Linked DNA regions of Bombyx mori. The protein of the gene in region 1 interacts with the protein of each later gene in a pairwise test. Links are inferred from orthologs where the notes say so. Each region holds a gene or a part of one and is shown in the gene's direction. Other genes may lie near its edges. The genes, in order: homeobox protein extradenticle, C-terminal-binding protein and antennapedia homologue protein.

Region 1 (7,772 bases):
TTGGGTGTCGTGGAAGAAGTGTTTCCGGACTCTACGGGAGTTACACGCATTGCACGGGTTAAGACAGCGATCGGATCGTATTTGCGTCCCGTGGTGCGACTCTGCCCACTACCCAACCAGTAGCACATTTAGATTTTTCATATTATTTAGGTTAGTTGTATATAGATATAGTATAAATTCTTAATTCTTGTAGGAACATAGCGTAATAGTAGATAAACGTAGCGTACTTATTTGAATTTATTGTTATTCGTTTGTTAGATAATACACTTTTTAGTTTTAGTTAGATAATACACGTTTTAGTTAGATAATACTTTGAAGGCGTCCCTTCAAGCCCGGGGGAATGGTTGCGCTGGTTTAAAACTGTTAGTTTTAAGTTTCGAAAAATAGCAACATTTTAATTTGGTTTTGCAAATCCTGTCCCATCCCTCTCCGGCACTTTTACCTACGGATGCGTGCGAGCGAGATCGTGTGGTGACATCAAAGACGAAAAAATATGGCTGAACAACCGCGCGCGCGCTTCGTGTCTTTGTTATGTTAAATACGTAAATAAGTGAAATCGTTGGTGTTTCTCATCGCGGAGTGGTACGAGTCTGCAGCAAGGACTACATAAAGGTATTGTGCATCCTTCCTTTAACGCAGAACTGCCACTTCTTATCGTTTCTTCCCGCAGTCTGTGTCCTTCATTTGCAACGACCAAATTTCAAATATTTCGTAGTTTGCTTATCTCGCGTCTACACCGATATTTTTACCAATCCTTAGTTGATGTACTGATATCCAATATGGGCAAATTATTTCAATTTTTATAGTATCAGTACAAAGTACAAAATAAACATAAAAAGAGGTTACACATTTACATTTTTGATTAAGAGAATCCATACTATTTTATTCTTCTTTTTCTTCTTCTTCTGAGTCGGTCTCTTCATTACTGAAGGTCGTGTCTAATCTAAAATGTGGACCACTCGATGTACAATGCTTCCCCACGTCTTCCTGTCCTCGGCGGTCTTTATAGCCTCGGTTATTGGCAGGCTGGTAAGCGTCTTAACCAGATCAGACCAGCAGATAGGTGAGCGTCCGCGTGATCTTTTCCCGTCAACCTGACCAACTACCATTAGCTTCTCCAAGTTATCGGGGCCTCTACGAGCAATGTGGCCGAAGTACGCGAGAATACGTTGGAAGCAGATAGCGGACAGGTCCATTGGTCCGGCGTGCTGTCCATGGAATTCGCAACATCCGTCTCCAACGCCACATTTCAAAAGCGTCGATCTTTGCTCTCTCACGAATCCTGGACTATTATATTAATGCTTATTAATTAAATAAACGTGTTTTTGTGGCAGGAAATTGAACGCATGGTGCAAATAATTCACAAGAAGTTTAGCTCCATCCAGATGCAGCTCAAGCAGTCCACTTGCGAGGCAGTGATGATTCTGCGCTCACGGTAAATGAATGACAAACATTACAACGTCTACATTAAGAAAATTATTTTACAACCAGCTCAACTTTGGCCTCAATTAAAACAATGAAAAACGAATACGATTCCCGCTTGCAGTTTCCTGGACGCGCGCAGAAAGCGCCGTAACTTCAGCAAGCAAGCGTCGGAGATCCTCAATGAATACTTCTACTCGCATCTGTCGAACCCGTACCCCAGCGAGGAGGCGAAAGAGGAGCTGGCGCGCAAGTGCGGCATTACCGTATCGCAGGTAACGGACCCTTGGCTCGCTTTACAGCTTCCTAGACGCGAGACGCAAGCGACGTAACTTCACCAAGCACGCGATAGAGTTGCTCAATGAGTACTTCTACTCGCACCTGGACAACCCCTACCCCGGCGAGGAAGTCAAGGAGGAGCTCGCCAGGAAGTGCGCCATTACTGTGTCGCAGGTAGCGCACAAACGCGAGGACACATATTGCTTTGACTAATTTTAATGAATTAGGAATATGTATTTCAAGTTTAAGTGAGTTGAAAAAGACAATATTATAAACTATTTAGTTAAACTAGCTGACCGGGCAGACTTCGTAGTGCCTCAATCTATAAATAATAGACCCAAACTTTTGTATAAAATAAACTTAAAACAAACCAAAGGAATCCATCTGACGGGGGACATATAAAAGGAAAAACAAAATTGTTATTTTTATTTAATTCCGAGCATTTTCATATTTATCTACCTTTTAAACCTTCTCTGGACTTCACAAATAATTCAAGGCCAAAATTAGCCAAAACGGTCCTGCGGTTCTCGAGTTTTAGCGAGACTAACGAACAGCCATTCATTTTTATATATACAAACAGCAGATAATGAGTGTCTTCAAGAATGTGGGAGTAAGTGTTGGTTTCTATTGCAGGTCTCTAATTGGTTTGGCAACAAGCGCATTCGCTACAAGAAGAACATTGGCAAGGCGCAAGAGGAGGCCAACCTTTATGCTGCCAAGAAAGCAGCCGGTGAGTGGGACTAACGTAAACATGTTTAGTTTTCAATTTATTTATTGAATTAAGAGCTTAATCTTAATTACAAATTCAGGTGATAATGAGATTGATTAGTAAAGGAGTAAGTCGATGAAATTAGTAGTATACAAAATGATCAGCACTGCATTGAAGTCAATTCAAGTGTAACAGTAGTTTTTGCCGCACATAAATAACCTATGACGTCACGACTAAACAAATACATGATTTTATCATTGAGATGACTAAATCACAATGCGCTAGTTCACATTAGGTCGGACCGGCATCGTTACGGTAGAGAACAATGTATGGTAGAAAGGGTAGAGTGGCAAAAAAAAGAAGAGAAAAGCTATCAGTTGTATCAAACCTGTGGACACAATGTTGACAAAATATGGCCAGTGACAAATTTAAATTTGAAATTATTGTTTCGATTGTCTTTGTAAGCTGTAATAAAACTTATCGGAAGTGGTTACCGCCCCTTACGGCCATCGCCGTTGCTAAGAGCATAAAAGCTCTTCTTATAATTGAGGACTGCCTGTTTGAAGAGAGACACACGTCCGTACTGTGGATAGCACCGGGGTGAATATTGAGGTGGGGCTTGACTCGAACTGTTGGAATGTAGTAAAGTATTTCTGGAAACGCATTGTGATACCCGCAGCGGTTCCAGGTAGTAGGGATGAATTCCGTTCCGGTGGAGGGTGGGGACCTAATGTGAAGCAGCTGTATGAGTAGTCGTGTGCGTGTGCGTGTGCGTGCGGAGAGTGGTGAGTGTGTGCGCGTGTGCGTGCAGCAGCGGGCGCGTCGCCGTACTCGCTGGGCGGAGCCTCGGGCGCGGCCACTCCGCTGATGTCGCCGGCGCCGCCCCAGGACTCGCTGGGCTACTCGCTGCCGGCGCCGCCCTACGACCAGCAGCCGCCCTACGACGCCTCCATGCCCTACGACCCCATGCACCAGGATCTATCGCCCTAATCGCCACACATATGTAACTATCTTTTATATCAACATTTTACCAATGCCCAGTCAGGACTTTTTTCTTGACCTAATTTTTTTCACAACACATAAAATATCAAAATCAAAGCATAACAACATCTATGTGGTAACAATGTGGCGACCTTCGATATTACTTCAATCAAGTTGTATTGCTCTATTGAATTAAAAATTAAGGCTTAAGCAACGCTAGCCATATTTTTATTTCATCTTAAAAGCTGAAAGTATCGATCCAACTGATGGTGGCATAAACGCAGATGGCACGACATAGCTCATACCGTAATACCCTCAGTACTTCATAACTTTATCTGCAGTTCTTCAAATTCTAATTAGGGATGTTATCTGACACATCTTTTTTTGAAAACTGAAATGCTTTTCTATTCTCTCTCTCTCTTTTTGAAACATCAGAAGGACAAGTTCCAACTAGAAAACCTTCCGGGTGATCAGCAATACAGCCATACTCCCCAAAAAAATAAAAACCAGTTAAAGACAATTTACAGTTAATTTAAATAATTTTCAAATGTGACCTTTCCACATAATACTTTTGGAGGATTCTCTGTCACAATCTATACTGCAAATCTATATATATAAAAATGAATTGCCGTTCGTTAGTCTCGCTAAAACTCGAGAACGGCTGGACCGATTTGGCGAATTTTGGTCTTGCATTATTTGTGGAAGTCCAGAGAAGGTTTAAAAGGTAGATAAATATGAAAATGCTCGGAATTACATAAAAATAACAATTTTGTTTTTCCTTTGATGTGTCCCCCGTCGGACGGATTCCTTTTGTTTGTTTTAAGTTTATGTTATACAGAGGTTTAGGTTTAGGCACTACGAAGTCTGCCGGGTCAGCTAGTAAATTTATAATTTGCATCCATTTCAGGTTGACGACATGACGCATAATCGTGCAGCTTCCACTGAATTGCCATTTACATTACATAATATTATGTATATCGTTAGGTAAAGGAGTACTGCGAGTGCTCGCCTCTACGCGCCCTCTCGGAACACAACGACCTCTGCAACCTGCAATATTCCAAATCAATGGAATGTAAATTATTTAAAACTGTTCACTGCTTGTTTTCTCATGTATTTGAATATTTAAAGTTCCATTACTGAAGTATTGTTACGATGAGAAATGTGTTCTGAGAGTGTAGCCCTTGCCTTAGGACATAGAACATTGTATACTATGCATTATTAGCACGTTACATAATATTTTTATCGTATTTTTGGAGGTAAATGTAATTGAAATGTATTTAATTTTTATTAATCTATATGACTGGCCCCCAGTATTTATTTTATACAATATTTTTCTAAAACGACTTGAAAAGGCAACTTTATTAGTATTATTTTGTTTTTATTATTATTTTAATACCAGTTATAATTTTTTGAAGTAATTATTTGGACAGTATTAGTATTAATTATGTCGAGAATCAGAAGGCCGGGATCTCTGTACGTTCACTATTCAACTCTACGGTGGTTATATTTATACGATAGCTGTAAGTCTTAGTTTATAGTGTAACATTATAGATTTAAGGGATCAGATATTTTGTGCTGTAATATTTCCACTAATGCGTCCCTACCGTGTATACTAAAATGGCTTAGATATTGTTATTTTCCGACTTGGTACTTAACTAAACATATGTTATCGATTTTAATTTAGTTCTCATTTTAAATTTAACAGCGAAATTTCGGTCCGCCCTCAATCATGTACGTGTTAGATCTGCCCATTATTATTGCCATTATGAAAAATTAAGACTTGAATTATGTTTTTGATTCATCTACAGATTAATGTTTGGAACGAAATTTGACTGTGTTGCCATTCATTTATATGTAGAAAAAAAAAAAATGTCTGAGAAAAGTACGCACGCCCATGTTTATATACCGTTGATAGTGCGGACATTCGTGTGCAATTTTATATTTTAATGAATGGTTGTGTTACTGTGTCGAGCATGTTAATGGAATTGATTATTTTATACTATTACTTGATTTTTTAATCGATATTTTGAATGTAATCATGTGATTATTATTTTTATTATTTGACATGATTTTTGTTGTGAATATATAAAACTTCAGTGATTTTTTTTTGTAAATTTAACAACATGGTGCTGTCGGTGCGGCATCACTTTATCTCGTTCAGTTGTAAGTTTTATTATGTTTCGTCGTTGACTATCGCAGAAGGATCAAGACTATTTAGTTCCACGTAGACGACTATTACGGAAACGTTGCGAGCGTCACATTATACGTGTTCTAAAAACAAAATATCTGAAACAGTATACGAGAAATTAAACGGAGAAATTAAAAAAATATTTGTTTAAAACTGTGGAACGTTAATATTATAAAGAGACGCGTCGTCGCCATTAATAATTATGGTTTAGAACTTACTATATTTATATGTGACGACGCGGACACCATGTATACGACGACGAGTTCAATGTTATTGCGACCATCAGATTGACTAAATACATTTTTTGTGTAGTTATAATTGACGTTTTTTTTTTATTTGAAATTCCCAACTTTTGTTTTCACTTCTCTTAATTGTATACAAGGAATAATCATCTGGAATTATGGCTTGGTTCCCTTAGCCCAAAATTTTCTCATTTAGGTAAGTTAATTACACGTGATAGAAATATGGTAAAATCCCGTACCTGCCTGCGGGATTTGAACATTGGCATAGTCGCATCGCTTGATACGAGTAGGGATACCGAGCACCCTAACTTTAAGGCTACGATGGCCACAATATGCAGTTTAATGACGAATTTAACCTAATGACTCGAGACTGGGAATTGAAGCAGAGAGTGGTGATATTGTAGTCAGTAAATTAGATCCACTGAGAAGATCCTAGAAACTCAGTGAGTTGTGTCCGAGTGTAATATATAGACTGTAGTGTCGTTACTTATATGACACTACCACTATACATCACTAGACCAATATGGCGGCTGTTCTTTCGATGTAGGTGCACAAAACAAAGTCACGTGCTTACCTTGTCATTATGCTAAACAGTATGTTTCCTAAGGAAATTCATAGAATAATCTTATATTATAAATACGAAAGTTTCTGTCGACTGGTGAATTTTATCCTTTTATACAAAACGATGATTCTGATGAACCTACAATGTAAGAATGGTATAAATATTGGAGTAGCACATAGCTCTAATATAGTTTGACGACCGTTAGATGACGCGCGATGAGTTTGGAGAAATTTAATACTAATGCCGGAACTAGGTACTCTCTTTTTGATATTTACATCGGTACACAAACAAGTTCATTACTGACCTAGTGTTAAGTGGCCCATAAACGCCACAACGTAAATCCCGCGGATTGCCTTGTGATCCAAGGTGTTTTTTTGTTTATTTTGAATCATCGCATATGAGCTTACAATTGTCCCGATAGTAAGTGGTTACGACGTTACTGGACTATGACCAGTGTGCTTAGTGCGAGTGTTTTAACTTCTCGAAAGTAACTTCGCGTAAAAGTTAACTTAAATTTGTAGGTATGGAGTTGGAACAGCGTCCCTAGATTGACGTAATTAGACCGTAGTAGTAGGACCGAGTCTCGACCAAGACCAACTTTTCACCACAAAAAGACTTGTTTGCAAAATAATACAATAGTGTTGTGTTTGTATATTTAATTTTATCAGGCGCAATGTGACCTTGGCCATGTTCGTTCATTATGTCAGTTTTCGACGCCCGTCCGCTTACTCCTCGCTCGGTTAGTGCAGTGAATACATTCAGGCAGTCAGGTTGACTCCGGTGGACTAGGGTTATGTTAAAGAATATTGCCAGCTTAACCTCTGCGACAGCGGCTAGATGTGAGTACAACTTTTAAAAAAGATGATAATTTTTATTTAGTACACATAACTAATTATGTATTATTTGTCATCACTCGAACTACATATATCAAGTACAAGGTTTGTCAATGTTATGATCATAAATGAAAAGAATCGTAAGGTTTAGATTGAATTCATTGCAATTAATTAACTTTGAAGTTTCATTTTACAATAACAAATAAGAGTAATTGAAAACAAATATTTCCGGATACATAAACCAAAAAAAGACTTTTGTAAATACTGTTTATATATTAAATTGGTTTAAGACCATACTATAAAACAGAAATGTAACTTATTTACCGTTTGCATAGGCAAGTCGTTTCATTCACGGAATTTTGTATTCTTAGATAAAATTTCGATAAACAATTATCATCATAGTCGATTACACGATGCCTATTAGATACCGAATGAAATGCATTTATTTATTTTTATGTTTTGCTTCGTTAATGTCAGCCTCGAAGATGACAAGTGTACACAGCGCCTACAAGGAAGAAGTCCATGATGTTCCAATGTCGGTTATCACCAGGCCCTT
Region 2 (9,087 bases), on another chromosome or scaffold:
GCGTACCGAAAGTGAAAACTTATCTTCAATTGAAAAGTCTTCATTTATTTATTTATTTAATTAGCTATAACAACATAGTGAGCACTAATTCAGAATATAGGTGAATAGAAAAGAAGGTTCATATTAAGATCCCCTCAATTGTACAAATGACATTGCAATAGTTGACAGCATTATTAATAATTTTATTTATTTTATACATTGTAAAACTATTAATACCAAAATTTTACAATTCCATTCGAGTAACAAATTTCAGAAAATCTATACTAAATTAAAAAAAAAAAAGTTCTATTAATCATAACTCTATCGAGTCTTTAAAGATCTATTAGAACAAAAACTTAAGTAACTAAAAAATCATCAAGTATAACTGAACAGTGATTTAATTGTGTTAATTCTATATATCTGAGAACATAATATATGTTTAGTTTATTTTTTGTTCATTATTACTTTACCACATACTATATTATGCATACATTTACTAACATGGCATACATTATAGCAATAATATTATAGAATTTACTGGTGGTAAGATGTCTGCCCACATGAGTAGGGACCACATAACTATTTCCTATTTAAGAGCTTATACTCTTCACTTGAATTCTCGTCCATCCCGAAGAATGAAAACGAAAAAATCTGTAAAGCAATGTGAAATTTAGGGCTACCTAGGCAATGTTGTAAGATAAACATGTTGCTTATAAAACTTTCCTTCAAATTCAGTGAAAAGATGATGATAGAGCCTCATTTATTATATAACATGCCTATGAGCTCATAAACATGACAATACCAGGAATTACTCTACATTTAAGAACAGTTGAACTGTGGCAGAAATATGTATGACAGTGCAGATCCATGCACACAAGCTTCTGGAATGCCCATAGAAACTTTTCTTTTCAAAATGTAAATAGGCAGTACATTATTATTTTTTTGTTGCCCTTGTAGGCAGACGAGCATACGGCCCACCTGATGGTGAGTGGTTACCGTCGCTAATAGACCTCAGCAATGCCAGGGGCAGAGCCAGGCCTCTGCCTACTGCCTATTACCTACCTATTCAATAATTCTTTGACACTGACAACATCTATAAAATAACTTGCAATCATCCTTTGTTCAATGAAATTGTTGAGTAAAAATATGAGTGTTATTGATAAGGTTGCTGTAAACGATGGTGAAATTCAAATCACATTTTTACAGCTCTGTGATAATACAAGCGAAATATTTAGATTTGATCATGACTATGTGGCAGATGTTACAATGGACTTTTATAGAAGCTCTCTAACTCAAATATAGTTTTAAAAAGCAACAGAATATTTTACAATTCTGATTCATCAGTAATGTTTTCAAAAAACAATAATTCTAATAATATTATATTTACCTATTGCTTACCTATCATATTTAAGTACCTATTTAAGTAATAACTAATTATCTTTCATTATTATGAGATTCATTTTATAGTCTATGACAAAAAATACAAGCCCTTTCAAAAGATATGATATGATATGATTTTAATTATTAAGTAAATAGTAAGAGTTCAATATTATAGTTACAATACATACTATAATATATATTGTTGATGTACATACATACATACATAGTTTTGTTACATAATTCTTAAGCTGCAAACTGTGATTAAAATAATAAATTGTAGTTTACACTTCTGTTCACATTTCCATGACAGAGAGTCCTTGAACAGATTTTTAAGCAAATGTTATAATTCAAATGTTCAAAATCAATTCCAAATTTGATTTATTGTATTTACATTTAAGCAAGAAAGCCGTTTGCTTGGGTGAGGAAAAACGCCCCCATATCAATGGATGTAAGAACGCTGAGAAGACTATTACAAGTTACTAAAGAAGCATCCATTCATTGCCAAAATTCAGTAGGCATGTTTACCATCACTGGTCTAATTGCGGGACTTCACCTCTACAACCAAAAACTCACCATCTACTACTAGTAGCACCACTAGTCCTAGATGATGATGATAATGACTACTAGTCCTAGTAGTATCTATGACATAATTATGTTGCCTACATTAGTTTCACTTTGTTTATTATAATTAAATTTTTTCTGGTAATCACTACATAGCTGCTAAAATTTGTCAATTTGTCTAATTTAAAATGGTAATATATTTAGCATGTGAATTAATTACTAAATATTACTGTTATTATTATATTGTATTGTATTATATTATTATATACATTGTAAAATGTAGAAACTATAAAATAAAAAAAAATTCTTTGATGGAAGAAATGATCCAAACACCTGTTTAGAAAAGTTTGCAAGTAAGCTAACCTGTTTTTATTGCAAAAATAAATATCTATTTAAGCATTATTATCAGACCTCACCAAGCAGTCAATGACTTCATCTGAGATGCTTATGCCATTGTTACAACATTTGTTCACAATATTAATTTTCTACATCATGTTCTCGGTCATTTTATATCATCTAAATTATTCTAAATATATGCTATACTCATTTCCTTATTTGCTTATACTTCCTATATACCAAAAATAAATTAATGGCGTTTTAAACTGTGCAGTTGGTTTATTTTTACAGTTAGTTTTAATTAGTTTTTAGCTTTTAGTTGGTTAGTTTTTAGCTTTTAGTTGGTTAGTTTTTAGCTTTTAGTTGGTTTAGTTTTTAGTTTTGATGGTTTATTGTTTTTAGAAATTATATGTGCTACCTATACTTGCGAGCTTACAATATGCCCTACCATCAATACAATGCTTAATTATGCTTGATATTGCAATATCAAGTCCTTTTTGTGATAAACTTAATTTGTAATATATAAAAAAATATTGGAGTTTCGTAATTTAAGAATAGTTTTTTGCCATATTTTTTATACTCGAATATTCGAGGCTTTTAAATCGATCTGTTTCGATCCATCATGTAGAAAAAGGGCTGATGTCATTTTTATAGACAATTTTAAACTTACCTTCAATGTCGCATGCTCCATAGATTTGATCTCATTCATTTTGAAAACGATATTCGTCTGAGCGGGCTGATGATTGCAAAATTATGACCTATATAAATAAAAACAAAACTCAGCTGACTTAATATTTGTAAATGGACGCAAAACCACGACGTAATGAATACTTGCAATATAATTAATTCCGCAATGTAATGGAAACTTTTCAAAAACAAATAATTTCACTTGAAATCTGATTTCATGATAGTTCATTAAGCGTAAAATCCGAATAAATAATACTAACTCTAATTCATTGAATTCGAGCCTTTAATCAACTCCTTGCGTTGTGGGTATCTTTTTCTTTTGACAAACAAATGTTCCTGTGGTTCATCAGCCAGCGAGTTGAGCAAGCTAAATTTGTATTTTGTCTCTGTCATTTGCAAGCGATTTCACAGAGATGAAGGATTGATTTTCAAGTTCAAAAATAGTTGCCTGCTGAGTTCAACAGTTGTTTTCTTTCCTCTAAAACTCTTCCATTTAAAGATTAAAACAACTGTTTTCGCAATCTCCTCCAGTATCTCTTTATCTTAATATATGTATAATTTGCCCAATAATTGTAATTTCTTCCCCAGAAACAGCTTTTAATGAAGAAAATTTCTCAAGTCTTCTTTATTTCAGAACGCAAACCAAAGACAATACATTCTTATTTTTTTCAGTATGGCAGACGGTTTTTTTAAGATGTCATTGCTGCCAGTATCGAGTTTAGTTCTTCAATTTTTATGATTCACATACCTACATTTTTAATTCGAAAAATGAAAAGGAGCGGAATGAAAAAGTTGAACTATCGGCAATACCAAAAGGAAATTGAATGAAATCAAATAAAATGTAATGACATGAGATGAAATGAAATAATAAGCTGGATTTCAGTACTCTGACTTTTAGGAAGGACCCGAGTATATCCCATCATAATTTTGGCTATCTATGATTTATACATGCTTGTCACAGATATTTTAATAATATGGAACAAGATTCAGAAATTAACATACTAATGCTGAAAAAAACTATTTGTATAAGGTAACTGCATAATATATTCCGTCCGTGTTAATTATTCTTCTATTTTAACGTTAAGATAATAACAAAATGTTGGATTGTGTACCCAATATGTTAATATTACTATTTGTTACTACGTGTTATTACTACTTACAATTATTTGAAATAAAACTAGTCCGATGTTTATCCACTCTTCCACCGGAGACTTATTGCAGTGTGCTAAAAAGTAACCCATCAGAAACTACTCCACAAAAGTCATGACCCTCAGCGGTGAGGATACAAGAAGTAAGAAGGAAGATAGAAGCCGGAAGGCCAGATTCCAACGCACAGCTAAAGGTATTTGACTTGTACGTTTTGAACTTCCCCCGCAAGTTAGTGGAAACTTAATGAATCATTCGTCCAATCCTAACTTTTTTTATTTTTTTTGTTGCCGTTGTAGGTAGACGAGCATATGGCCCACCTGATGGTGATTGGTTATGGTTTAAGCCAAGCGACGAATTCAAACGACGTTGTTTGTGTCCAAAATTGAATTGATTGATTGTTAAAAATATCAAATATGTTTATAGTTTTATATCTATATTGAATTTTAACGATAGGGTAATTTGTAATAGTTATTTCTGTAAAAAAATCAAATATATTTTTGTGTTTGTGTAGATTTAAAAGTTAAATTTTACTGAAGGCGACGAAATCGGTTTTAAGCAAAATCGACTACAACAAAGCCGTCAAATTACTTGTCATAGACAAATATTAACTGACTCTACCATTATTTGTCAGCATCGGCGCGTCAGCGCGTCACTTTCGTTACGCAAATCCGCCATTTTGTATGTAGCTGGCGGTGCTTCGCGGCTTAGTTTCTTCGTTTAGTGAATTTACCTACGATAAACTGAAGAACTTTCTTCTAACTGACTCAGCAAGCCGGCTGTTCATAAAATTGACGATTTTGTGATTTTAGTTTACTCATATACCTTGTGCATTCGTGATTTGTGAGTGTCCTGTAATAGGAGCGCGTGGCTGGTCTTTGTTGTTGGATTTCGCTTATTTACGGTAAGTTAATTTTCTAAACGACTTAAATTTTGGTGATGCGAGGTATAAACTCGAAGTGTTATTTATGTTGACTTTGACGAAATTGCTAAGTTGAAAGTAGCGTCGAAGCGGATAGTATCGGTGCGCGGTGATTGCCTCGCCGTGGCGATGAGGACCGACGACATTCCCGCGGCGACGCCGACGCGTCATCTCTTGCTCGCACGAGAACGTGTTGATCGTGATTCGGCTATTCTAGAAAACTCTACCTAGAATTTAGACTCATATTACTTAACACTAATAGTCGTTAAAATGAGAATCAAGCATTTAGTTCGGTTTCAATAAACTTGTGACAATTGTGAGGTTGTGATGTGTGTGAGCTGATAACTCTGGAATTTGTACAATTAAATGTCACGAGGTGAGATTGGCCGAAATATTGTTTACGATGCTACAAAATAACAAAACTTTTAAACATGAACCGAGTGTCTATTTGCAAATTTTGCTATTATAAAAATACTTTTGAGGTAACACAACTAAAATATTTAAATCACTAATATTAAATCAAGTACACAACTAAACTGGCGGAAAGCAATATAAAGTTATTTTAACTAAAAAGAAAATATGAATTTCTCTTACAAAAAATTTGAAAATTATTTAGAATAACAGCACTCAAGATATTGATACTGATGAAAGATACTACTTCTACAACTTTTATTTTCTAAAACACTAAAATGTTCTTCGGAATGATTAGTCACTCATTTAACTTTGCTATTGCAAATCGATGAAAGTTTGGATTTGGATCTTAACTATCCCTAAATATACATTGTGTTTTAATATTATGTGAACTTTTCATAGCCTTTAGAAATAAAACTTAAAACAGAAATCTTTTTTTAAATGTTTCATATGATTAAGTAAATACAGTTTAAGGAATGAATAATTTAATTGATTTATATTTCTGGATATATTTACCCAGACTTCTAGGTCTTCTTAATCGCAAAAATAATCAAGAGAAAATTAAACTTCTTCAAGTCGAACAGTAATGTGGTAATTTGTTTTGTGTTGGTTTATCTAACTGAATTATTCATTTTCATTTCATTCATTTAAATCAAATTAAGTTAATTATTGTATTGTAGTCTTGATACTCATTAAATAAGCAGGGTCCTTTAAAGATAAACAGGAGCCGACCTAATTTTACTGTCTCTAATATATTGTATCCTCCATACTTTAGTGGATTGTGTGTCAATATAGATTGTAAAAGGGCAAATATTGGCCAATGACAATATCATGATTGGTGTGTGTGTATATACTAGGGCAAAACTGTCACTTATGTACATATTAGTTATACTAATTATATGTAATTATTAAATTAACAATATAGAGCAACATATTTTCATTAAAAAGTCAGATTGTTTAAAATCCTCTGGACAATGAGTGAACCTTTAATGTATTAGCTTATCATCTATTTATGAGAAATGACGGTGTAGTGGTGAAGTTTATGTTAGTGGTGAGATTTTTCTGTTTATTAGCTGGGCAGAGCACGAATAGTATTCTATGACAGAATTAAATTTAATTACATGTGCTTACTCGTATAAGTCATACAAAATATTGATTTAAATAAAAAGAAATTGTTCATACATGGACTGGCATCATGTTCCTCCTAGTCAAGTGGTTATCGGAACCTAAAAACTACAATTGTGCAGTTTTTCATCTTGAAACATAAAATGTAAATCTCAGTAGAACTCTAATTATTGTGGCTAATAGATATGACAGAGTAATGACCATGGTGGTCCTCTGTGCTTAGTATAGGTATTAGAACGAAATGAGGTGAGCGATTAGAGAGTTTGCAGACAGTTCCCGCAGAAGTTAGTAATAACTTGGGGCTGCAAGACCCCTTTTAGTCTCACTTTGGAATAAGCTTCCCTCCACAGTGTTTTCTGAGCGCTATGACTTGTCCTTCTTCAAACGAGGCTTGTGGAGAATACTCAATGGTAGGCAGCGGCTTGGCTCTGCCCCTGGCATTGCTGAAGTCCATGGGCGATGGTAATCACTCACCGTCAGGTGAGGCGTATGCTCGTATGCCTACAAGGGCAATAAAAAAAAAAGAAAAAAACTTCCATCAACTTTAAGCACTAAGAATTTAAGTGTAGTATGTAGTTAAAATATATATTTCTATGGTTCATGATTGAGTTTCATAATCATAGGAATTATTTTACTTCAAATTTGTTCCATAAAATTGTCATTTTTCTTTTAGCAACCGAGCATAATTTGCCAACCCAATTTTTTACATAGCAAAGTTTAAGTGGCTATTTCTACCCGTCCGTCAATTGGATGATAAACGTATAATGGCACCTAACAATAGTTACATGTATGCGAGTGTCGGCACTTGCGTCTTATCTTCACGTATGTATGATTATACCGTGAAGTTGGCCTTGAAGTCATCAGTAGAAAATTTCTTAGTAAAAAAAAAACAAAATGTGTGCAATTCACACGTGGTAGAAGTGAAACCTTCCAAAATTAAAATACAATTATCCTAAACGTCTTAAGTATATGAAAATTTTTGTCATTAGTAAATAATTGTAAGGTAACGCACTCTGTGAATTGATATTTTAATTTCACGTATAATCCTAAATTAAAATTCACTACAAGAGCTTTCATACACACGTTAGTATTAAATCTCACAGATGGCGCTGTATTAAATAGTATGTATATTTCTGTCTCATTCTTTGCTGGCTTCATCCTACACATTTTTGTATTTGTGTCTCTTACCTGTCGTTTTTTCCGTTGCATCCGGTTTGAAATCACAACAATTCTAAAGAAGTTTTCCTTCGATCAATAATAGTACTAGATTACGGATCAGGAACAAAAATAAGACGCTCCAGTGGCCACGTTTGCAGACACGAAAACATCTTCATTTCTTAGAAAAAAGTTTAATAATGTTAACGACTTCAGTTTATTATAAACCTTAAGACTTAAACATAAAGTTTAATTACCATTGCAAAATATATGTATTTAGGTCCTTTCGTCAGAAAAAGAATATTATGGAATAAATTTAAAATGTCACTTGAACATAAAAAGTCATCAGTACAAAAATATTTATTCTAAAATGATACTTAAAGCCTAATTTATAAGGTTAAAAATATTTGTTTAAAATTTCGTGCTTATTGTATTGTGGAACTAGATGTAGTTCTTGGTATTACATTTCAATGCTCAGAACACAGTAAGTATTGAAAGACATAGAGTTGCAGAATATACATATTTGTTTTAGGTTTGTTTTGTATGGTCGCAACTATTTTTGACCGATTCAAAAAAGTAGTAGATAATATTTTACATTGCCGCTATTACAACAAATAGGTGATAAAAAATAAAATTGAATAAAGTAAAAAAAATATGAAAGGAAACACGAAACATGTTTTCCACGTATTCTTTATACAGAAGTTATTAAAACAATAATGTAGGTTTAATTAACTTTAAACAGATTCAGTTTGTTATAAAGCTGTCTTTTAGAAGTCATTTTTATATGAGCGGTTTCTTTTTTACAAATATAATGTAATCTTATATCAATGAATTTTTCTATAATCAGTTTAATTTAGGCTTATTTTATGGCTGTGTTCGTTTCCCCCAGAAAACAAATCCTTTTCAGCATATACGCTTAAAATATTTACACATACATATTATAAAGTTTTTTTAATACTTTTTTGCATTGATTTGCCACCACCATTGAACAATTCTAGAATTTTTATAAGAGTTCTATATTTCTTCTCCTCTTTCTTTCGCGACAATATATATCCATTGTGCACAGCGACAAGGGGCTACTAGGAAATCTACAAACAAAAATAACATTATAAAATAACAAAACTACTCTATGCATTCCCTGTCCAAGAATAGGTGATGTTTGTTACATTAGTTGGTGCCTTGTTGCAAACATTGGCCAAACAATTACAATATTCGTAAATTGTGTTTTATTTACAATATAATTGTGTTTATTATTTTATGAAAAACACTTAATAATATAAATTTACCAAAAAAATATATTCCTTCCAAAACCTTGGTGTTACGGTGGTTTTTTACTCCGTTTTTGAACGCGCAGTGCAGCGTTTTGACGTCTTAGTGTTGGCTAT
Region 3 (8,507 bases), on another chromosome or scaffold:
TCGTTTGGATGTTACTATATAATTGCATTGTTTGTTCGTTACTTCAACAAGATTTTAATTCACGGAAAAGATTTGCTAGTTCTTTATACTTTAATAAAAACGCACACTGAAACATTTCTGGCTTAAAATCCTTTCGAATTCAATCATTTTGAAAAATCCTGGTGAGCTTTAAAAAGCATTTAATTACAAGCCTATACTTAGAAGCGGAGGCCATGAGAGCGACCTGCGAGTGACTCAGAAAACCCGTTCTTGAAAACGTAAATCAAAGCGGCAGCGTACTCGGTTATCAAATTATCAAAAGCACGTGAGACTTAATTTCGACGTCGGTCAGCTTAAAGACATGTTCCTTGAACCGAGCTTAAGATTCTTATCTCGACCTGGTAATTGCCGGCTAGAACATTCGCTTGTTACGTGTGAGATTAAATTCATAACTACGAGATAATGTACAATTATGTGTACGTAAAGTTAACATGAAAATGTCATGTTTCTTGGGATTTAACTTCGCCTTCAGATGACACCGATATTCAGTAACATAATTTCACTTCAACGAATTTTTTTATATGTTTCTCTCTAATTCACCCTGATTAAAAACGTTCGCTAGACAGTAATAAATTGTGGAGTCGGAACTATTGTGATTGGACTCGATGTAGGCATCTACTGGAATGCAAATGGAAATTGAAAATTAAAAAAAGCGAGGGTCGCAATGCCGCTGGGGCGGTGAAATCGTAAATTGTAATTGTTCAACCGAGATGCAAATTTTTCGAATAGCTATGCTTTTCTATTGTACGTACATTGTCGCGACTCTCCGTTTCCATTATTTTTTTCATCACTTTTTCCCACTAGGTGGGGTCGGCACAGCAAATTTTTCTCTTCCATTCTCTACTATCAGCCGTCAGCTCAACATCCACTCCTCTCTCTCATTCACACACTCCATTTATGTCTTCTTCGGTCGACTTCTTTCCCTCTACCTTGCACTACCATTTCCATATTCATGCATCTTCTCTCTACGCATCACATGTCCATACCACGCTAACCATCCGCACTTTAAATTGCTAATTACCGGGGCTAGTTTGACACTTCCTCTTCTATGCTTACAATAAATAACGATTTTATGTATCCAAAGAATATTAGCCAAAGAATTTTTGGCGGTGAAATACAAAAAAGTATCACCATTTATAAAAACGATCCAAGAAGCTAATAACAAGACAGCACCTAGCTTACGCCTAATGTCATGAGTGACGGTAACCATTCAGTTTTAGAGGTTCATATGCTCGTCTCTCTACAGTGACCATAGAAAATATCTTTTTGCAATGTCGCAGTACTCTCACCGGTTTTACCTAAAAGAAAACCCTTTAGTTTTACATTCAGTACTGATAGAGTGTGATTATAAGTCCACACCACTACTACTTGTTACTGAAGCACGTAAAGTCTACCAAATTCAATACCGTTGCCCTAATGAAATTGAAATTTCCAATCCGTTTCAAAGTGAGCCATACGAAAGTTGTAACATTTAATTAAAAAAATATACAGAACATAAACAAAGTGAATAGAATGCGTCTTATTCGTTTTTTCCCAATTGTTCCCAGGCGTAAGTTATTATATAAACCAATGTAACTACAGCTAAGAACACATTGTCTATAGAGTAGCCGCCATCATTAACTGTCGCTAATGAAGCATGAACTTTTGGATTTTAAATAGCCTGAGCCAGTTCTCGGGGCGGAGATACATTCGGATCCTGTACAGTACATTCTTTTTTCTCTCTCTCTGGATACGTGAAATTTAGTAAAGCGTATCAAAAATGTTGCAACGTGACTTTGTAACTTCGTAAATGGAAACGTATAAGATAATATGTGACGACCGAAATGCGCAGCCATTACGGTAGCACTTAGATGTTGTCTTAATGTACAAAAGTCTTCTCGTATTTTTACCGTTACGCAGGTTTTTTTTGGCTGGACTAATACTTGGTGTACTTGTTTAATTCTAGTAAGTGCCAGATTAAATGCATCATGATTTTTTTTAACTTAAAAAACTAAAAAACAAGATCATACGATAACGTTTGTGTTTCTGTTATTTTTTCGAGAATCAACGACAGTGTAAAGTTAAGTCTTCAGACCGCGATACGACTGTCATTCATGCTCCATCAACTGCTGGGACATGTCGAGGATATGACGTCAGGTCAACCACATGTTGATGTCGCGACTTGACACTATTTCGTCTCCTGTCTCATTTTTGAGGAACTGCTTCCTTGAGACAGACAAAGACAGATTTTAAATGTCTTATCGTGTTTAAGAATGCGGCGCTTGGTTAGCTCCTACGAATGGGGGCCGTTTAGCAGACAGGTCGTCTATAAGGCGTTTTACTAGCAACATAAGGTTTATATCTTCGTGTGTGTCCCAGTTTTAAGACACGTGTCAGTCTGCGTGGACCGTCAGGTCGACTCAGCGCGTGATGACTGGCGTATCAATCCACGAGCCGGCCAAAACAAACATACAATCAAACGAGAACCGCCTCTCGATATCTTCCAAATATTTAATTTTAGATTGACTAAGTGCATCAACCTTTTCTTTTCAGATTGGCCGAGAATCAGATGAGGAGACACCGTCCGTCAACAACGCGTAAATCAACAGTGAGTTCAGCAAACGTCATTTAGTGAATGGATTCGGAAGTGTTTGTGTTGTGACTGAATTGTGATAACGTAGTGTCGGCCCTTGGGGCCGAAAATCTGCGACGGAAAATACGGACGTGAGCCGCGCGGGCTGCGGGCCCGCGATGAGCGCCAACAATTGCGACAGTATGACATATTTTTCTAACGCTTACATGCCGGACATGAGGAACGGAGGCGGTCACGAACATCAACAGGCGCACGCGCATTACGGCGCGGTGCCACAACAAGGGCACGAAATGGATGGCTGCGATCAGCAGCTCAGGCCGGCACAGCATCACTACCCGGCGCAACCTGCGCCTGGAATGCCCTACCCCAGGTTTCCACCCTACGACAGGCTAGGGTATTATCAACAAATGGAACAAAACGGATACCGGCCGGACAGCCCTTCTCAAATGGGGCATATGGGTCCTAAAACGGACGGATATGGACCTAACGGACACCAACCGGCAACTCCCGCAGTTTACACGTCGTGTAAGCTTCAAGCTGCAGCCGCGACAGGAGGAGCAGTCCCCGGCAGCCCACCCTTAGAACAAGCACAACAAATGCCCCATCATATGCACCCCCAACAGCATATGGTCCAGCACGGAGTACCTCCACACCAACAGCATCTCATGTACCCTGTGGACGACATGCAACATCAGACGCAGATGCCCCCTATGCATCAACAATCGATGCATGCACAGCAACCTCCTCCGCAGCAGCCCCCGCCTAATACGAACGCATCGCTGCCCAGTCCGCTATACCCATGGATGCGAAGTCAATTTGGTAAGCACCTAACCTATATTTGTAATTAATGTTATACAGCATTTATCATTATAACATCAATTCACTTGCTACCTTTCAGACATGATCACTTCAGTGGTCTCACGGTATGAGCCCTGATTATTGTACCAATTATCCGGGTTAAAGTTTCTGAAGGAATTAAAATAATAAAATGAAGAAAAAAAACATGGATAACTAATTAATTCTTAATGTCACATATTAATAAAGGTTTGCTCTAATTACAAAACAAAAATCTAATCATACAGTTGTTGTCCGTATATAATGATGTACTGGCATTTTACACAGAAACTAATGACAAAATTTAATAGCATTTGGAGGATAGGCTCTGTTCTTTCGTTTACTCACAACACAAATATCTGAACGTACGATCGAGTATCGAAATGAAGTAAACTTTATTACGAGTCGAACTATCTAACCTAAAAATAATAAAAGCAATAACTATACATCGATAGTTCTTCAAAAATACTATGGATTTATTTTATTTTATTCAACTAAGGTTTTAATGTTTTTCGAAAGTCGTGAATATGTTACTTTCGCCATTTGTGAACTATGATTTGGAAATTCTGAGAGGAAACGAATGAGTGATTAGAACTTAAAGGGTTTCGCATTAAATAGCCTAATGGAATAATAATTTATTAATAATAAATAATTGGAAGATAATTAGAAATTGATAATATTTCTCCTATGTTATTTTCCTATCCTGGTATCGGAAACCCATTAGTGACAATAACAAATACGCTAAGATCCAGAATACATGTATTTTTACAAAGGTACCGACTCCAAGCTCGTAGCTTATAAAATATTTACAATATTATTTATTACACATTATTAAGATATTGCCGATAAAATGTATTATTTATTTGAGTTCAGTTCACGGGTCAAGCGAACGCTAACTCTGGTTTTGCTGTTTTCGTCACGCACTTGCCTGGCTTTCGTTATCTGAGTCGACTATTATCAAAGCCGGCAATGTGACTTTTGGATAATTATTGGTAAATCAGAAAAACGAATTATTGACTTTGTATTCCATTGGCTGTCACAAAACTCTTCTGAACGACATCTTAGATAAATAACAGGTTAAGTATTAACCTTTATTTAATGCAGGTTTTGAACCGTATTCTTTGAAGGAGACGATTATATTCAAATCAATCTGTATTGAAATATCAATAAATTTTTTTGTCCAAATGCACAGATTGCCACCTTTGATAATAGACGACTCATCTGTTGTCTTACAATAAGCCACTCACTACACAGACACGAAACTATGAATGGCGCATTTATTTATTGATTTATGGTAGCCGCACTGAAAATCGCAAGTATTCCATACTGATTTGCGAATCTACGAGGACCACTCTCGTTTTGCATTGACGTGAAACAATAAGAGTCAGAAACAATACCGTTCCTACTGTTCGGGGATTATTTATGGGCCGAAGAGGCATTCAAAAGGAATTTCACTTTTCACAAAATTTACAACACCCAGGACAAAAGCTCACCTTCTGTTTAGCTGACGCCGAATACGAACAATGAGCCTTCAAGTTGTGCTACCGTCTCCTACTGTTTTTGAATTTGTCTGCGATCTAATTTACGGTTGAGTTGGCTGATTTAGAGATTCCATTGTAATTTGAGAATGTAAGCCTAGTAAGTTCGTATTTCGAGATTTAGTTCGGGAATGAATTGTCGAATGAGATAGTTTTGCTGGTTACTTAAACAGAACGTATTTCTATTAACTAGCATGAAATTAAGTGATGTGACTTAATGTTTTTTTTGTTACTGATATCGTGGTGACTATGTGACTGTGTATAAGAGACTATGAGTTTATTTCTAAAGTGAAAAAAGGTGCGTTCGATTTTAAAATTTTAGAGATTCATGTCATTCATACATCTTTGTTACAAAAAAAAACAATGAGATAATTAATTGACAAAATAATTAAAACTTGATGATAAACATTATATAATAAATGAGTACGTCAATAGAATGATATAATGAATAATACCAAATACATTAAATATTAACGAATCATTCATATTAAAAGTTTAGAAAAGTATTATTGAATAAAAGATAAAACTTCAAATAATTTAACCCGCATAAACTACATATAGCCACATGTCCATCGCTTTTATCCTTAACCATTGTAAGTCCTTTGCTTCGTACAAGTAGGTACGTTTGTGCATCAATAGAACGAAATTGACATTAATTCTGATACCGGATCTCTTTCATCTACTAACCGTTTTTAAACGGATACAGTCATTGCTTAGACAGCGATCTTACACAAGTATAAGTAGCTACGTTGCGACCACAATATAAATTGCACAATTTACCCAACAATTGTATTATTATTATTATCTACGAACAGACGCTGATTGACATTGGTTACACTAGGCAAATCGGTTTAAACCTTGAAAACAACTACTGAATTTAGCTTGTGTCATAGTTTAAAGGTAGTTTAAAAGAATTCAATAAAAATTTCTTAATTTTGTCTTACCTAGAATTGGGTTCTAATTCCTTTTGTATTAAAATAAACTTTTTTATAGCAACCCCAGTATGGTTTATACTAAAACCACTTAACTAGAAGCCTGAACGAGCCGAACCCGTGTCGTAACCCTTATCCAAAGGAGCTAGATAAGATTTGTCAATTTTCGGTCCGCCATGAGAGAGACCAGTCAACTTCGGCTAACTTGTTAATTAATTTCAAACTCTACTTCGATACTAACGACGCCGAGACAAACTACACTTACTTTAGATATTATCGAAATACCCACAAATTTTAGTCAAAATTGAATATAAAATTTTTCTCAATAATTATCAGTATAAGCCCGCATTATTGTGATGTCACAATGATAGTACAATACAATTTTTTGTTAATAATAAAAAAATTAACCGATAAATTATATGTTTGCGATGATAAATATGAGTCATTTGATTCACTTATAAACACGACAATTTAAATTATACAGTAGCTTTTTTCGTAATGATCTCGCTAATTTGTTTAATTATATGTTGCGTGTTATCTAAGTAATTTATTACCTCTTCGACGCTAATAGCACTTACAATTAATTTCATACTTACAATAACTCATTCCACTAAATTATCAACAATTATTCAGAAACCAAACAAAATGTATTTAATCTTTGAAAAATTTGATACTTCAAAGATACGGTAGCAAATAGTCGCACTTACTCGTATATTCTCATTGAGTTTCACCTTATCCACTTGAGACTGCCTTCATTAATTATCTTCAAAAATCGGCTGCCATTTTGAAATAAAAAATCAACCAATAGGAACGGATCTCGTTTTAAAATAGAACACTCTGGCGTTCTCAGCGTACGAATCATTAATCATTTGTGAACTAACTTCTGAAGTAGTTAATGATTAAAATGTATTTAGGTTTTTGATAATTTTCTCTACAGCATTCCTGAGGAAATATTGCTATCATAAAAAAAACTGTCGGAAATCATTGTACCGTGTATTCATTTTAATGTCATTTGATAACGAAATTTTCACGAGGCTTTAGATGTAGCACTAATGTTACATGTTTTGTTAATAAAAATCCCCTATTATTTTCCTCTGTAGTCAAAGAACATGTAAAACAAACTACCTATATTGATGATAGTAGTCATGTAAATCATTTATTATAATCTGTTTTTTTTTTTTACCTATTTTTCCTCTGAATTTCGTAGTGTGTCGCCTCTTGATCGTAGATTGTATTTTTATTTTAGAAGTACCGTAATATTAGATTTCTTTAAGTTATTTCTGTAACAGTTTTTTACTTCACATCTGATTAATGTTTTTGTAATAGTTTTCTGTGTCATTAAATTTTCATGATATATTTATATTAATACCGAAGCATGATAGGCCTATCAATTTCAACTTTTTTAATACGCTTTTACTAGCTTCAGACGTATGTATGTATGTTTGTAACGGAAATCGTGGCCTAAAGGATAAGACGTCCGGTGCATTCGTATCGAGCGATGCACCGGTGTTCGAATCCCGCAGGCGGGTACCAATTTTTCTAATGAAATACGTACTAAACAAATGTTCACGGTTGACTTCCACGGTGAAGGAATAACATCGTGCAATAAAAATCAAACCCGCAAAGCTATAATTTGCGTAATTACTGGTGGTAGGACCTCTTGTGAATCCGCACGGGTAGGTACCACCGCCCCGCCTATTTCTGCCGTGAAGCAGTAATGCGTTTCGGTTTGAAGGGTGGGGCAGCCGTTGTGACTATACTGAGGCCTAGAACTATATCTCAAGGTGTGTGGCGCATTTTACGTTGTAGATGTCTATGGGCTCCAGTAACCACTTAACAGCAGGTGGGCTGTGAGCTCGTCCACACATCTAAGCAATAAAAAAAAAAAAAATCTTTGAACACGATTTTGACCCCCTTCAAAACGTCGGATTAATCGAAGTCGAAATTTGGTATACTTATTAAGGACCGATGACAATTACATATTTAAAAAAAAAATTGAAAAAATTGAAATTTAACTAAATAATAGAAAATAAATTTGAATTAAAAATAGTGTAAAAAAAAATTATTTTATTGTAAAAAAGCGTGGGGTGCTTTTCAGGATATTATCAAAATAACCCTTCTACTCATATATGTTCATAAAATATTTATAACTACTTAAACCATGCACCCCACGCTTTTTCACAATAAAATCATTTTTTCTTACACTATTTTTAATTCAAATTTATTAAAATTATATTTTTCTGTGTTTTAGTTAGATTTTCTATAAAAGCGTATTTTATTAGTTTTTTTAAACTATTATTTATTTATTTTTTTGTAAATTAAGTAGCTTCTATTATTATGGTGAATTAGTTCTGAATTCTACGATGCTTCACTATGACTGGCTCGACGATTATCGTTCATTAATGAGAGCCAGAAACTTTCTTTAAAGCGCTGACAATAGCTGGCAAATTCAAAACTAACTATTCTAGCTGAATGTGCAGTGGAACTAACAAGAGCGTGTAGTCTAGATAAGTGAAATTCGTTAACGAGAATAATTTTTTGCTTTGATGGGTGGACGAGCTCACAGCCCATCTGGTGTTAAGTGGTTACTTG

The links.
Region 2: the proteins of homeobox protein extradenticle (region 1) and C-terminal-binding protein interact in a two-hybrid assay, tested with the Drosophila melanogaster proteins (2 studies listed by BioGRID, with this or other methods). The link is inferred for Bombyx mori from reciprocal best matches to the Drosophila melanogaster genes exd and CtBP.
Region 3: the proteins of homeobox protein extradenticle (region 1) and antennapedia homologue protein interact in a protein complementation assay, tested with the Drosophila melanogaster proteins (2 studies listed by BioGRID). The link is inferred for Bombyx mori from reciprocal best matches to the Drosophila melanogaster genes exd and Antp.

The regions. Positions count from the first base shown.
Region 1 is NC_085121.1:1,647,448-1,655,219, reverse strand, and holds the end of homeobox protein extradenticle, read left to right. Parts: intron 1-1,334; coding exon 1,335-1,435; intron 1,436-1,546; coding exon 1,547-1,697; intron 1,698-2,334; coding exon 2,335-2,431; intron 2,432-3,089; coding exon of another isoform or gene 3,090-3,163; exon of another isoform or gene 3,164-3,221; coding exon of another isoform or gene 3,222-3,298; coding exon 3,299-3,413; intron 3,414-4,298; coding exon 4,299-4,311; downstream 4,312-7,772. Other genes in the region: sulfiredoxin, read left to right, coding at 7,177-7,222, 7,694-7,772. UniProt on the Drosophila melanogaster protein: Transcription factor which acts with the selector homeodomain proteins altering the regulation of downstream target genes such as wingless (wg), teashirt (tsh) and decapentaplegic (dpp), thus affecting segmental identity.
Region 2 is NC_085132.1:9,957,901-9,966,987, forward strand, and holds the start of C-terminal-binding protein, read left to right. Parts: upstream 1-4,459; 5' UTR 4,460-4,993; intron 4,994-5,147; exon of another isoform or gene 5,148-5,387; intron 5,388-9,087. Other genes in the region: E3 ubiquitin-protein transferase MAEA, read right to left, coding at 2,927-2,965. UniProt on the Drosophila melanogaster protein: Corepressor targeting diverse transcription regulators. Hairy-interacting protein required for embryonic segmentation and hairy-mediated transcriptional repression.
Region 3 is NC_085112.1:5,677,625-5,686,131, reverse strand, and holds part of antennapedia homologue protein, read left to right. Parts: intron 1-2,571; 5' UTR 2,572-2,769; coding exon 2,770-3,430; intron 3,431-8,507. UniProt on the Drosophila melanogaster protein: Sequence-specific transcription factor which is part of a developmental regulatory system that regulates segmental identity in the mesothorax. Provides cells with specific positional identities on the anterior-posterior axis.